2 linked regions of the Oryzias latipes genome follow. The protein of the gene in region 1 binds, or shares a complex with, the protein of each later gene. Links are inferred from orthologs where the notes say so. Each region holds a gene or a part of one and is shown in the gene's direction. Other genes may lie near its edges. The genes, in order: wdr59 and sec13.

Region 1 (3,107 bases):
ATGTTTTACTTTGAAGCCCATCGAGACGACTGTTGTTGTGATTTTGGGCCATACAAATAAAATTGAATTGAATTGAACTTTTCTAGAGGATCTCACCTGGACTAGGGATGGGTATCGTTAAACACAAAAATAACAAACATCCACTTCCATTCATAATTTCTTTTATGACTCCTCACCTGAGTCACAAAAAATAAAAATACAAATATACACTAACAAATACATTGTGGATATTTTGAAGACGTCTTAAATAAAATGGCTAAATGTCCAATAGTTAACAAAATAAAGAATGTTCAGGGAGTTTATCTGAGGAGAAGAGAGCAGCATTTCCACGCTCTGCTTTTAGGAGGCGGATCTGCAGTTCTATCTTTGGTAGCGTTCCTGTGTGCGCGCTGCGTGCTGTCTGAACAACAGCCCCGCCCCCCGTGCACACAAATAACCAGACAGACCTCTCCTCTTCAGCCAGAATAGCAAAATTAATATCATCATTCATTAATGGAAAATTGACTGACTTGGTGAGTTAAATATGGCAGATAACCTCCTGGGACACAAACAAATGCGACTTCTCCAGAACCGATACCAGAACCGTTGAGGTCAGATCTTAGTGCTACTGCGGTATTGAAGAATGTTGCCTGGGGGCTCCTTCAGTACCGGGGCTCGTTCAGTACCGGGGCTCGTTCAGTACCGGGGCTCGTTCAGTACCGGGGCTCCTTCAGTACCGGGGCTCCTTCAGTACCGGGGCTCGTTCAGTACCGGGGCTCCTTCAGTACCGGGGCTCCTTCAGTACCGGGGCTCCTTCAGTACCGGGGCGCGGTACCCATCCCTAACCTCGGTTACGTTTGAGGAGACCACAGCAGCAGCTGAATTTCATCGTCACAGGAAGTGATGTCACATGCCTGTTTCTGCTTCAGTCCAGCTTCACGTCCAGCTCCGTCACATCCGGCTCCTGCTCCAGCACCTCCGACTCCATCAACGCCAGCACCTGGACCGCAGGTGACGCCGCCGCTCCCCTCGCCGGCCGTCCCGTTGGACGTGGTGCTTTGCTCTTAAATTGACGGTTTCTTCTGGTTTTTCAGTCCGAGATCCCGATCACATCAGCCCCTGGGGGGAGCCCTCGCCGGACGACTATCGCTACGGCGGCCAGGCCTACACGGACCCCCGGGAACGCGAGCGAGACCAGCACGACATGAACAAGAGGTGACGTGGCGCTCCGCCCTGAGGGGACCGGCCTTGAAACACCCCTGACCTGCTCGTTCCGTGTGTCGCAGGCTGCTGGACCCCGCCAACATGCCACAGTTTGACGACTTCAAGAAATGTTACGGGGAGATCCTGTACCGCTGGGGCCTCCGGGACAAGAGAGCCGACGTCCTGAAGTTTGCCTCCTGTCCGCCAGAACCCCACAAAGGCATCGGTATGTTTCCTGTCCCGCCGCTTCCCAGCCGCCCCGCTGAATGTGGAAGTAACCCAGAACCCCTCCTGCCCCCTCAGAGTTCGGCGTTTACTGCTGCCACTGCCGCAGCCAGGCGCGCGGGACTCAGTGCGCCGTCTGCAAGCACCTCACCTTCCAGTGCGCCGTCTGCCACGTGGCCGTCCGCGGATCCTCCAACTTCTGCCTGAGCTGCGGTCACGGAGGCCACACCAACCACATGATGGACTGGTTCCGCAGGCAGGACGAGTGTCCGGCCGGCTGCGGCTGCCACTGCCTGCTGCAGAGCACCTTCTGAGAGCAGCCGCAGCCGGGGACCTTGCAGGACCTGGACGGTTCCAGGAGAACCCATCCTCTCACAGGACCGTGACTAGTAGACCCAACACGGGTGGAGGAGAGACGGCTGAAGGTTTCCGGCGTTCACCACCTGTGGATCTTCTCAGTGTTGGTGTGTCGTCTCCGGGTACGGGCTCGGGTTCCCAGCGGGCTCAGATGGACCAGGAAGTCCTCAGGGGGTTCCTCTGTAGCAGAGCTGTCTCGGGCACAGCTTGACCCACATCCAGAGTCTCCAAACGGCACAAATGTGTCCAGAACCACAGAACCTTCGGGGCGTTTGATCCCGTTTTCTCCTTTGACTTCATGAAAGACATTTTTATGTCAGGTCTTCACTCCACAGCAGATCCAGACTTCAGCTTCCATATTGTGGTAAAAACCAAACGACAAGCCTTTTTTCTTTTTTTTTTACTGTAACCATGGCAACTGTGGGGTCACACGCTGCCCTCAGGAGCTTTGGGACAAACCAGTGTTTCTGAAAATGAGAACATGGATGTTCTTCATCTCATTGTTATCGGGTGAAATGAAGGAAATATTGGAAAACTTTGATTTGGACGAATAAAAGCCTGTTTGGATTTTCTCTTCTCAGGCAGAAGCAGATGATTGACAGCTCAGCTTTAGCTCAGATGCAGAGAACAGGAAGTGATGCAGAGAACAGGAAGTGATGCAGAGAACAGGAAGTGATGCAGAGAACAGGAAGTGATGCAGAAGGCTTTTATTGGAGGCTTTGTACGCTGGGATGTTCTGGCTGTGGTCCTCACGGAGGACATGGTTCTGCTGGATCAGCGGCTCTGCTGGGACCGGATGTTCTTCAGTCTGGAAGGAGAAGACAGATCTGTTTGTTGGGAGAACCCGACAGAACCTCTGTGGTTCTGGGTCAGACGTGCCCGGATCGTGGTGAGTCTTCAGTTTGAGGTTCTGAGTCGTTTTTAGGAAAATCTAACAAAAGTTTGGTTGTGAAGAGACGGCTGCTCCTCCAGATGACCTCTGACCTTTTCAGCAGCAGGTCCGGGGACACGTCTGGGTCGCTGTCGTCGGAGCTGCTCTCGGACTCCTTCCTGCTCTTCTTCTGCTTCCCTTTCTTCTTCTTCTGCTTCTTTTTCTGCGCAGAACCAAGGTCCGTTTCAAACCGGTTCCTGTCCTGCTGCTTTTCTTTCCATCTCACCTTCTTTTCCTTTTTGTGTTTGCTCTTCTTCGGCTTCTTCTCTTTGCTCCTCTTCCTCACGCGTTTGTCCTCCTGGCTGGGGGGGCAGACACCTGCGGTTCCTCCTGTGTCTGAACAGCAAACAACAAGGAGTTACCCCCTCCGTCTTCACTCTGTGCTCGTTCCCAATCCCAACGCCTGATGTTG
Region 2 (4,455 bases), on another chromosome or scaffold:
TATGGATTCCTACAAAATAATATTAAAACACAGGACTAAGCTATCTCCTCACAAAGATCTTACTGTGTCGTTTTCTAGTTATTATACATAAACATGTTTGTTTGACGGGACATATTGTAGATGCTGTCATTTTTTAAGTTGAATTGTGACTTTGGTGCATAGATTTAGGCCATGATTAGTCTAACGTTTTATTCTAAAAATACTGTAGAAGTTGTCAACTTTTGGAGATGCCGCCTCTTGTTTTCATATTCTTTATTGAAGCTTCAGTTGTGATTTGATTTTAATAATTGAAATAGTTTGGATTCAAAAGCGTGACATAAACAAATCTTTACAAAGAAATCAACTAAAACAGTTTTAAAGGTTTCGTTCTGTACACAAACACCTGAGTTTAGGATTCGCTTCTTGTTGTACTTCTAAAGTTTGTGTTCAAGTTTCATGATGTGTGTGTAATGAAACTTTTACTTTCACTTCTTTGTCATTTGAATTTTGCACTTTTTAAATGTTAGTAAACTAAATACATCTGCATTTTCAGCAAAATGTAAAAAAAGAACCTTTTAATAACTGTCTTTTCTCCTCTGAGTCTCTGATCAGATTTTAAATTAAAATGTTCATTACTTTAACATTCACTGCTTTATATTCATTACTCAGAGTGTCTTAAACAAACGTTTTGACAAAAGAAATATCTACAATCGAATGACGAGTCAGAGTAAAAAGGGTCTCACTGTCAGAGCTGATGAGCAGCTGATGAGCAGCTGTCTCTTACTTTACCTGAAGTCTTTGTCAGTGGAGGTCATTTTCTCCAACAGGTTGGAGATGTGGTAGGACACGTTAGACATGATGGTTCTTTAACAGCTGACACGGACGCCGATAAATGCTAAATCTGTAGGAAAGCAATGGAACTGGGGAACCAGATTCACCCTGACAACATGGCGAGGCTGGTGGGCAGAAAGCGGAGCTAACCTTAAACCTGACACCCCCAGGGTCAGCTAAAAATACAGCACACTTATTCTGGTTTATGTCTCCCTCGTGTGGACAAACCGAGCATTACAGCCGAGTTCGTTTTGAAATCCTAAACCATGGACTGTAAAGAGAAGTTTTACAGTCTCTGTTTGCCATGAATTTGTTTGAATAACATACAAGGTTGTTTTGTAAATAGATTGTTTTCTGATTTATAACTTTATTTTTTAATTGGCTTTCATGTGTGTGAGTATTGTCCCAAATAAATTTAGATTGTTTAATGTGAAAATATACCTTTTGTTATTTTACAGGAAGATGTTTTGACTCTTCTTTCGTTGCATCAACTTTTTTTTTTTTTTTTTTTTTTTTTTTTTCCTCTTTCGGCTTTTCCCATCAGGGGTCGCCACAGCGAACAAGTCGCATGGTAAACTTGGCAATGTTTTACGCCGGATGCCCTTCCTGACGCAACCTTCTCAAAGCAACCGGGCTTGGGACCGGCACAGATAGACAGAGAGACAGATAGACAGAGAAGGGAACAGGGAGCAGCCCTGTCGTTGCATCAACAGGCTTTGTAAATGTAATTTTGCGTTGTTGTCGTGTAGGCGGAACTTACGTTTCGATTGCGTCACTTCCGCCGGAAGCAAGTCTCGGGCTCTGGAAGCGGTCTGCGGTACTTGTTGCCACGTCGGAGTAGTTTGTAAACCCGGTCGATTCATTGCTAAGCGACCAGAAAACTGTTGAAGGGTTTTTGGGTTAAACAGCAGCGATGGTTGGTTAAAATACTTTATAAAAATGGTTTTAGCATTTCTTAAAAACATCTTTAAAGTTTACGTTTGCCTGCTAAGACTCACAGTTAGCTAGCTCCCGTTAGCCGAAATACTAGCTGACGCGTTAGCACTGCAGATAAAAACAATGATGGTTATTTTTTTTATGAACAGGTCAAATAAAATTCTGCTGTTTCTAATCTATAGGTCTCCGTTATTAACACCGTGGACACCTCCCACGAGGACATGATTGTAAGTGTTTGACCTCCCACTATGCTATCCGTGGATGGATAATTACATTGAATTTGTTTAATATTGTTTCACACGTTTATCCGTTCTTACAATTAAACTTTTACTGTGGTTTGATTACTCTATTTTGGGGCTGTATCGTTATCGTTTGGAACTAATCATTAATATTGATTTATAATTACATTTATCCTTAGGTTTGTTTGTGGGGGAAACGTGTTTTTTCTGTCTGTCTTGTTGTTTTCTTGAAGTTCATCTTGTTCTTTGTGCTTTAATCTCTTTAGAAGAAATGACCCACTTTTATCAGAAAGGCTGGATTTTATTGTGATACTTGTTCCTGAATGATACCCTTAATGATTTTAGAGGGAAACGTTTGCCTAACACATGATCATAGAGACGGGCTTCATTTTAAACGAACATACAAGAAAGACAAACATGTTATCAACCTATCAGAGGTCACAGTGTTCTAAAAGTACGAACACATAACTTTTTGTTGACGAGTCCAGGGACATGCTGTAAAGGTTCATGTGTGTTGTTGTGTGTCTCTGTGATGCACGGGTGAAGTGTCCTGGGTGAACCCTGATGGGATAGGCTCCAGCAACCCTGTAATCCTGAGCGGGATGGATGAATTCCCTTCAACATCAAAATGTTTCATTCTTGATAGCATTGAGGCAGTTGTCTGTTGCATAAAAGCATCTAAATCAACCTCCAGCCCCTGATTTCACTGATGTGAGGATCCTCAATTAAAAATGATTTGTTCTAGTATTAAAAGCGCTGTGCTGTATACACTTAAACACTAGACACGCCTGGCAGTTGCATCCCATCTGCATTCATGCATCTGTAAATCTTCAGGTGAGTTGGATGGGAAGTGATGGCGTGTCTAAATACTCACACGTGTTGAAAAGTTCTCTTCATGTCTTTATTCTGGTTTTAGGAGTTAAATTCTCAGAAATCTTCCCTTTATCCAAATGTAACGACCTGCCTTTCTGCAGTGTTTCTTTCTACCTACTAGTACTAAAGACCTTTGACCTTCACACGCCGATGATGTCACCCTTTCAGCTGGAAGACCACCGCTCTCTAGGTGGTTTTTAAACAGCCTCTTCCTGATCCAGAGGTGCTGTAGATTCAAACGGCTGACATGAAAGGTTTAGATCCAGGAGTTCTGGATTTGTGCCTTCATTTAGTGCCAGTATAATGATTGACATAACCAGCATACGTGTTTCCCTTTCAATCTCAAAATGTCCATTTGAAACATCAGACACATAGAAATGGTTTCACTGGCTGTGAACACATACATGTTTCTGTGTTTCAGCATGACGCTCAGATGGATTATTACGGGACGCGACTCGCCACATGCTCCTCTGACCGCACTGTCAAGATCTTTGATGTCAGGAACGGAGGACAGATTCTAGTGGCAGACCTCCGAGGGTGAGTCATCCTCAGAAAAGTCTTAGTTATCCTCTGTTAAATGCAGTAAAGAACAGCAGGTGGGTGTTCTCCAAGAAGAATAACTTCTAGTTTAATGTTCTTTATGCTGGTATAATACACGCTGACAAATATCGTGAAACACAAACGGCTTTCATCGTGAAAAGTTCATTTCTACTCTGAACTCGCGTGTGAGAGATTTTGTGTTCTTCGTTCAGCCATGAAGGGCCCGTCTGGCAGGTGGCGTGGGCCCACCCCATGTTTGGGAACATCCTGGCCTCCTGCTCCTACGACCGGAAGGTCATCGTCTGGAAGGAGGAGAACGGAGCTTGGGACAAGATGTACGAGTACACGGGACACGAGTCCTCAGGTCAGTAAGGGAATGTTTCCCCTCATCCAGTGTTAGAACTCCAGCTCATTCCATTACAGCTACTCTGTAGGTGTTTATGGTAAATGCCATTTCTTATCCTATTCTCAGTGTTTGTAATTCCACACCAGAGTTAGATTGTGTTTGTTATCATTTTTACTGGTTGTTGTTTGTGTTGCTGTGGAACTTCAGCCGATCCGAAAGCAGGAGAGACGTTCTCCGTGCTTTTGACAGCGGAGACGCCGCCGGCGGCTCGTGCTCTTTGACGAAGCGTAAATCCTCGTCTGTTTCTGCGATCAGCAGGAATCAGCTGAACTGATCGCTTAAGGCCGCTATGCAACACTTCCTGCTTTTGTCTGCGACAGAATCGGCTGACCTCCGCTGATTATGCTGAAGAGCTAGTGGGTAGAATGTAAAAGAAGACCTTTGAAGAGTCACTGTGACCACGGTAAACGGCCGCGTCTTTGTGTTCATGGCGCTGCTGCTGTCGTGTTTGCAGTCAACTCTGTCTGCTGGGGTCCCTATGAGTTCGGCCTCATCCTGGCCTGCGGCAGCTCCGATGGAGCCATTTCCCTCCTCACCCTAACTGGAGATCAGCAGTGGGACGTGAAAAAGATCAGCAACGCACACACTGTGAGTCTGACCCACTACTGCTGGTCCACCGAGAAAGGCCGATTCTGCTCGGGTTGTCCTTTG

What was found.
Region 2: the proteins of wdr59 (region 1) and sec13 are in contact, whole or in part, in a cryo-EM structure (PDB 7UHY), measured with the Homo sapiens proteins. The link is inferred for Oryzias latipes from reciprocal best matches to the Homo sapiens genes WDR59 and SEC13. Residues at the interface, in NP_085058.3 of Homo sapiens: Ala525, Tyr526, Gly527, Asp531, Ala532, Asn533, Ile534, Pro535, Phe536, Pro537, Arg538, Thr539, Ser540, Gly541, Ala542, Arg543, Phe544, Cys545, Gly546, Ala547, Tyr549, Val551, Phe553, Thr554, Arg555, Met557, Ala644, Gly645, Lys646, Val647; in NP_899195.1 of Homo sapiens: Val4, Ile5, Asn6, Thr7, Val8, Asp9, Thr10, His12, Asp14, Met15, Ile16, His17, Asp18, Ala19, Gln20, Met21, Asp22, Tyr23, Tyr24, Gly25, Leu28, Val42, Pro59, Trp61, Gln62, His67, Pro68, Tyr79, Ser105, Asn107.

Annotation. Positions count from the first base shown.
Region 1 is NC_019861.2:37,911,678-37,914,784, reverse strand, and holds the end of wdr59 (GATOR complex protein WDR59), read left to right. Parts: intron 1-908; coding exon 909-990; intron 991-1,073; coding exon 1,074-1,194; intron 1,195-1,265; coding exon 1,266-1,408; intron 1,409-1,485; coding exon 1,486-1,721; 3' UTR 1,722-2,344; downstream 2,345-3,107. Other genes in the region: gpatch1 (G patch domain-containing protein 1), read right to left, coding at 2,539-2,572, 2,749-2,858, 2,922-3,031. UniProt on the Homo sapiens protein: As a component of the GATOR2 complex, functions as an activator of the amino acid-sensing branch of the mTORC1 signaling pathway. The GATOR2 complex indirectly activates mTORC1 through the inhibition of the GATOR1 subcomplex.
Region 2 is NC_019863.2:32,815,908-32,820,362, reverse strand, and holds the start of sec13 (protein SEC13 homolog), read left to right. Parts: upstream 1-1,576; 5' UTR 1,577-1,723; coding exon 1,724-1,726; intron 1,727-1,928; coding exon 1,929-1,973; intron 1,974-3,279; coding exon 3,280-3,395; intron 3,396-3,610; coding exon 3,611-3,762; intron 3,763-4,258; coding exon 4,259-4,392; intron 4,393-4,455. Other genes in the region: cullin-associated NEDD8-dissociated protein 1-like, read right to left, coding at 769-836. UniProt on the Homo sapiens protein: Functions as a component of the nuclear pore complex (NPC) and the COPII coat. At the endoplasmic reticulum, SEC13 is involved in the biogenesis of COPII-coated vesicles.